2 linked regions of the Tribolium castaneum genome follow. The main gene of each other region encodes a partner of the protein of the gene in region 2 in a complex. Links are inferred from orthologs where the notes say so. Each region holds a gene or a part of one and is shown on either strand. Other genes may lie near its edges.

Region 1 (2,935 bases), on a different chromosome or scaffold from region 2:
GCTTGAGGATATTGGCATCGAATTATTCAGATTGATCTGCAATTTCACAACCAAAGATTTTGTTACTTGTACAGTGTTCACAAAAGAACGTGCATCAAGAGTGTTGTATGAATACGGAGGACTATAAGTTAGGAGACGATTTTTTTAACCCAAAAAAATATGGGACAGACAACCATTTTAACTACGCTCTCTGGCGACGTTAACGGAACTATCGAGGACGGGAACGTTTTATTTGTACGTCATTTCTAGATATCCATAGTTTCCCGAAATCACAGCACTCTTGCACGTTTTTTTTAATAAACACTCGGAGCAATGTAGTGATCCAGAAACGCATCCTATTTTTTGGAAGGCTGTGGCTTGTAACTTATGCCGCCCACTTGAAATACCTGTGCCCCCACATATCCAGCTATATCACGATTTCAAGTCCCCTAATGTACCCCAAATATTTTTGTACTGTAAAAATTGACAAGACATATTTACACGCTGTTAGATAAAGTGTGCAATTTTCGTATTTTCTTGGTAGCTGTACAATGTCAAACGCTTTCAATTGTACTGTGTCTCAAAATAAAATGCCTTCATGGTTACTATCACTGTTTTATTTACACCTCGTCCTCATTCAGCAACAAATTCGGGATCCCGTTATTTATGGGAAACTTCCGTCCGGTTTCGGGACAGATCAGCTCGCCGTTGATTATATCGATCTCCAGCAAGGCGTGATGGGCTTTTTTCAGGAACTCGTGGTCGTTTTCGTAATTTTCGACCACGTCCTTCGGGAGCCCCTCCAGTTGGCCTATGCTTTGGGCTGCATTGTAGAGCACGTTCCAGTCCACTTTTGGGATGATTTTGGCCACGAAGTCCGGGTTGAAGTCCACTTCGGACACTCGCACGTCCGAAGCCTGAAATTTTGGGAAAAAAATTGACATAACCTCAAACAACACAAGTCGGATTTAGCCGATTTTAGGGGCGTTTTTCGCCTGAATTGTATTAAAAACGTAAAGTACTCACGTTAATACCAAGCGGGTACCCCACAGTCACGACTTTCATGCATTTGGAGGTTAGCATGTTGTGGGTTAACAATTTCATTTTCCGATTTTTGTGTATTTACGTGTATTTTTCACACCAGTGGACAATTAATTGTTTAAATCGGCCAGTTTTTCGCGTGAGACACTTTTTGCGCTCTTGGATGCTTACCCCATCACTGATTGATTTACAATGAGCTTTTGGTTCAAATTTCGCGCCTCGCTTCGAACGGAACTTGGTGACTCTTTAACAACTATTTAACCGTACAAACAATTGAATCAAGATTTTTGAACCGCCGTAGTTATTTTTTTGAAATTTGTGATTAATTTTTGGTAAGTTTTATCAATGGGGGCCGTTTTTTGCCCAGTTGGGTGAGAAATAGTTGTGGTTTTGTGGTACTTGGTTGAGGTATTTCCGGTGCATCCCAACGCTAAATCCCCAACTCGTCGCCATATTGCAGTTAGTTATATTTCGGCTTTTTAGTAACTTAGAAAAATAACCGTTTGCTGTTGGCGCGTGAAATGGAAAGCGAAGAGAGTGAGCAAATTCAAGAAGTTGAAGAAGAGTCTCAAGATTCGCAAGAATTGGCCGAAATTCCGGTGCATTTAGACGACTCGTCGGTTTCTTACGCCACATTGAGTCTATCAAACAGCAGTTCGAATATCGTTAGAGGAAAATATTACAAACAGACGTATCGCCCAGCATGGGAGCAAATGCCCGATTTTAAAGGTGAGAATTGGGGGTTTTTGTCGAGGACTTGACGAATTTTTCGAAGGTTGGCTTAGAGGAGTCGTTGGGGAACCCACGCGGGCCTATTGCACCTACTGTCAGAAAACGCTCCATGCCCATCGGTTGAGTCTCCTCAAACACACGTGTACTATCAGACACCAAAAAGCGGCACAAATTCATAATAATAGGAAGGTAGGAAAGCGTTCCGTACACAGGGTGAGTCATCAACATCATCATCAAGTCGCTTGTCTTGAGTTTTGGCAATAAACAGTTGGCTTTGTTTATTTGACAATTATTACCACTTGATTCACATTACTTTAAAAAAATTGTTCAAAAAAGCAGGCCCTGGTAGGTTGTAGTCAGGGTTGTGACGTAGATATTGAAACGTCGTTCTACAGTATAACGACGCGTAGTTTTTGCACATTTTCTACGTCATCAATCCAAATAAATTACCGAAAAATTACACTATTTTTTACGTCAAAATTTGGTAGCATTTATTTGTTCTCAAGAAGAGAAAAATGAATCAAAAATGTTCTATTACTAAATACATATCATTATTAATTAAGTAAGTTCTTTTACCATCAGAAATTGTAGTCAGTAAACAGTAAAACAAGACAATTTTCTATTATTTTCTTTATTTGGCAAAACAGATTAGTAATAAACAAAAAATAAAATCTATTCTCAAAAAAAAAATAAATAAAGTCTATTCTCAAAAAAACAAAATAAAGTCTATTCTCAAAAAACAAAATAAAAGAATTAATCTCGAGGAAAAAAACACAACCAATGTTTCTTTTTTAACTGACTTCGTTACTTTCCCGCATCTTCAGGGAGTAATAACAATGCATTATTTTTCTCGAATGATCAGCATCCAAACGATTTCTCAAATCATTGTGAATAAATGCCCAATTACTAAACACACGCTCCAAGGAAGCTGAGCTGGCTGGTATATTGATAAGTTTTAAAGCTACACTAGCCAACTCTGGGTGCTTTCTCTCGGCCAATCCCCAAAAAACTTTTGGGCAACAAATGTTTTTACGTTCTAAGGTTTCAAAAATATCTTCCGAAGAACAAAATTGGTGAAAACTCATTAAACCTTCTGCACTTAAAGTAGCTACCAAATAGTCATGGACCATATCAACCTGGGTTTGATTCAAAGACCTTCCTCTATAAAGAGGATGAAGAAAAT
Region 2 (4,148 bases):
GAATGTTATCAGAGAGTGAATTTGAGGATGATCCCAGCAATCATGTAACGTTATCTCAGAAACTTATTTCAAGAGGAAATATTGAATCTGGGAAATCCTCTATCAAATTAACAGAACTAGGGCCAAGACTAACTTTACAGTTAATTAAAATTGAGGATGGTCTACTGGATGGCGAGGTTTTGTACCACGATTTAATCGAAAAAACCGACGAAGAGAAACTGGAAATACAAAAGAAACGTGAAGCTAAAAGAAAATTGAAAGAGGCGCGGAAGAAGACACAAGAGAAAAATAAGGAAAAGAAGGAGAACATGAAAAAGGAATTAAAAGAAAAGTCACTTGAAGGAATGAAGAAGAAAGAATCAAATGAGGAGGTTGCTGTTGAAGATGATAATGATGCAGAATACTACAAGGAAGAGGTGGGGGAAGAACCCGATAAAGATTTGTTTACACAATCGCAAAGAAAACCCTCAAGACCTGTTCAGTTCAGGAAGAGGAAATCAAGCGAAAAGCCGCCTAATTCCGCAAAAAAATTCAAACGAAACGACGGAAAAAGCACTAGACATTTACAAAATCGTGACCAGCGACCAATCGGTGGCCAAGCCTTTGGGAAAGGGAAGGTAAAAAACAAACGTAATTTTAAAAAATGATTATAAATTTATTTCAAATTGGATTGTTCTTTTGTGATTGGATCCAGTTCTCTTTCCGGATCCTGGCTTCCCGCATTCGCTTTTCTTTCCTTGTTTCCTCCCGAGCGACATAATATTTTTCTCTAAAGTCCACAATTTTATTCTGATCGGAATCGTCCGTTGGGTTAATATTGCGAACTTTTTCAAACGTTAAAAGTCTTCGTGACGTTATTTTAGTCAAGATTTGTTCACTGTTTGCCACCAGTTTTAAACACGGATGTGAGGGAAGACCCGCTTCCGAATAGTCTTCTCTGGAAAAAAAAGTACTTTGTTTGGATAATCGATTGAGGGGGGTTTACCTAAAGACAGGAAACCAGCAAACAAGCCTCCCACCCAGCCTCAAATGTTTTGCGGCAAATTTCAACAAGTCGTTGTAAATGCTAGAAATTCCATATTCAATTTTAGCTGGAATGTGTGTGGGTAGGTGTTTTTCGCTCACGGTGAAGTTTTCTTTACTTGTGCCCACTCGTTCTGTTGCTTCTCGGATCCCATAGGGGGCTATAAAAGTCGCTAAATTGAAAGATTCATTCATTCATTAAGAGTAACTTACGATCGGTTATTATTGAATCGAACTCAACATCATCTCTCCAAAAAGATGAAGCGAAATCGTTTATGAGCACATCTAAATATTTATGTTGTAAATTATACTGTTCCATATTTGCTTTAATGCTTTCATCAGCTGCCCTCTCCTGAAATAACTTACGTAGTGAAAAAAATATTAGGAGATGATACGGTGCGCAATAAATTGTTCTTGTATGTATTTAAATAACTATGAACGCAAGACAACAAACAAAACATATTAATAAACTGATTGAAAAAAGCTAGATTCATTAATGATTTTTTAACGAAAATCTGCATCCTTTTTTCATAATATCTATAATTATTTTATATGAAAATTACTTAAAATAAAACAGTTTTTAATGATTTTCTGGCATTGACCAATTAAGACATGAATTTTTCCCGAAAAAATTAATTACCTTTTGTTTAATTCGTGATGGCCTAGTTCTTGCGTGCAACATCAAATAATCGATGTCGCCTCCTAAGACAAAACCGCCGAACTCTGCAGCTGCTACCAGAAGAGACCCAGAGCCTACAAAGGGGTCTAAGACAATGTCCCCATCCTTGACTTGGGCTTGATTAGCCATCAATAAAGACAACTGTGGATCCATACTAGTGTTTCCAATAAATTTCCGAGTTTTTAACGACAATTTCCTGATTAATTGTCTCAAACCATTAGCTATCTAAAAATTAAAATGTGAAACTTATTATTACTACTACTTTACGAGTAATGAAAACTGACCCATCTGCCAAAAAACACATCGTAAGGGTTTTCAGGTGGGTCATTAGCCCTTGTTCCGTAATATTCAATGTAATGTAAACAAACATCTGGATCTTTTAATTTAACAGGGCCTTGGACAGGCAGATAACTAAAACTCTGAACAGAAAAATAAATTGGCGATCAATTATTTAACACTACTTCAAGCTTATTAATTTTTTCCTTTTGGCTGAAGTGGCGACAAAAAGTTTCCACTTCAATTTTGAAAGACAAATGGGGTTGAAAGTAAGGCTCCATTAACTGTTTTGGGAAATTCTGTAACTGACAGTGTAAACTCTGGATATCTTTCGCATGTGCCCACAATTCCATACATGATCTAATCGAGACAGATCTGCTAACTAAACGTTTCAAATCACTTTCTGACTCAAATTCAACGATCCAATAAGGCGCCTAAAAATCTAGCTTAACTCTTATTCATTAATAAGTCACGATTATGTTACGGTATTATCTGGTTCTTTGAAGTGTCTCATTTTAATTTGAAACATGGAAAGTAACGAATCAATCTCCTAAAAAATATTTTGAGAAAAAAAAATATTTGAATGGGAATACGAACTTCGAAGCGAAATTCGATATGTTCCTGTGCAAACCACAGGAGGTATTTTTTCCACGGTTTATTCATCTTGAATAACTTAATAGTGTCGTTTCGAGTAAAAAATAAATGCAAAAACACGTTTTTTGGGTTAAGTAGTGAGTGAGAAAAAGTGGGGTTATCTGAGAATTGCTTCAGTTGGTGGTACTGTTTCAGTTTGAAATGTTGGCGGGGTGATGGCTAATTCTTTTTTCTACTTGTATTCTTGAGTCTTCCAACCAATGGAGCATGAAAGGCAAGCACAAAACACATGCATACCTTTGTAAAAGGTTCCCTGAAGCGTATGATTGCAGGGCATCAGGTCACAGCAAATTTTCAGACTACATCATGAATGTCGGGTTATACAAGATTGATTAGAGCAAGGCCTTCAATTCTTAGCCCCCTGGCCCCTAAATCAATAAATGTTACTTAGGGCGGCCCCTGAGAACTGTTAAATGATCAAAAAACAATGTGTTCATACTTTTATACATATCTCAAAAAATAGTTCATGGATCAGTGAGTTAAAGGCAAAATAATTAGAAATGAACTCCGCAGAAAACTACACATTTTTTATTTAGTTTTTAAAGCTTTTTTTTGTATGCTGACCGAATAAAGTTGAGACTTAATTGCCAATTGCAAGATACTTCTCAGATCAGGAGGAAAAAAGACGTGATTTATAAACAAATAAATAACCACGTTTTTCTTACATGCACTAGCCCAATTACAGAAAAAGTAAAGAAAATAAAAAATTAACGTTAAATACCAGACGTGGTAACAACTAAGGACAGTACTAAATTCTTATTAAAATAAAAGCGAAATCTCGTTCAACTGGTAATAAATTAAATAGGTTACACGTTATCGATATTTGGTGCACAATATTAAATTATGACGGGCATTAGATCTGGGTATCAAAAAATTAAGTTTAATTAAGTTTAATTAATTAAGTTAAGTGCAGAAGTACAGGACAGTAATTTTATTATTCATTAAAAAATTATTTACTATTATTTACTAAAAAAATACGGCTCTTGTTTAATGAATTAATTTTCAAACAAATTTATAAAATTGACTGACTTATTATACTTTTTTCTGGATACAGACGGTAAAGACCATAGCAAAGGTAACAGACATACATCAAAAACTTTTTCTGTATGGACTGTATGGATTTATGTACAACCTCATTGTAAATGTGCATGCAAAAATTGAACCCGATACTATCAAGAAAAAATAACCTTTAGAAAAGTTTCTTTGAGAATGACACATTTCAAATTTATTGCTTTCAAAATTTATTTGGAAGGAAATGCCAGTGACAGTTTTGGGGGTTGAAAATTAACGACAATTAAAGTCTAATTTTTTATTAACATACAAAATTATTTTTGTTATGTGTATTAGCGAAGGAAGGAGTTCATCAGTAAAGCGAGGTTCAATTGTGAATCTTTTCCTGAAAGCTGTTTTTCATCATCAAATGTTTGAGCTATGCTATGAGTGAAAAAGTCATAGGATATTTTGGTTGGAAATTTTCCGAAATTTTATTCGAAAAAAATATTTTTGTGTTTTGTCT

The links.
Region 1: tRNA (guanine(10)-N2)-methyltransferase homolog (region 2) and Trmt112 share a complex: the UniProt entries of both Homo sapiens proteins name them as parts of the heterodimeric TRMT11-TRM112 methyltransferase complex. The link is inferred for Tribolium castaneum from reciprocal best matches to the Homo sapiens genes TRMT11 and TRMT112.

Annotation. Positions count from the first base shown.
Region 1 is NC_087394.1:6,130,994-6,133,928, forward strand, and holds Trmt112 (multifunctional methyltransferase subunit TRM112-like protein), read right to left. Parts: upstream 1,253-2,935; 5' UTR 1,084-1,252; coding exon 1,006-1,083; intron 897-1,005; coding exon 600-896; 3' UTR 579-599; downstream 1-578. Other genes in the region: uncharacterized protein LOC655985, read left to right, coding at 1,542-1,749, 1,796-1,965. UniProt on the Homo sapiens protein: Acts as an activator of both rRNA/tRNA and protein methyltransferases. Together with methyltransferase BUD23, methylates the N(7) position of a guanine in 18S rRNA.
Region 2 is NC_087397.1:8,654,776-8,658,923, forward strand, and holds tRNA (guanine(10)-N2)-methyltransferase homolog, read right to left. Parts: upstream 2,758-4,148; 5' UTR 2,642-2,757; coding exon 2,576-2,641; intron 2,529-2,575; coding exon 2,463-2,528; intron 2,413-2,462; coding exon 2,164-2,412; intron 2,122-2,163; coding exon 1,987-2,121; intron 1,928-1,986; coding exon 1,664-1,927; intron 1,376-1,663; coding exon 1,237-1,375; intron 1,185-1,236; coding exon 986-1,184; intron 938-985; coding exon 661-937; 3' UTR 648-660; downstream 1-647. Other genes in the region: ppan (protein Peter pan), read left to right, coding at 1-647. UniProt on the Homo sapiens protein: Catalytic subunit of the TRMT11-TRM112 methyltransferase complex, that specifically mediates the S-adenosyl-L-methionine-dependent N(2)-methylation of guanosine nucleotide at position 10 (m2G10) in tRNAs.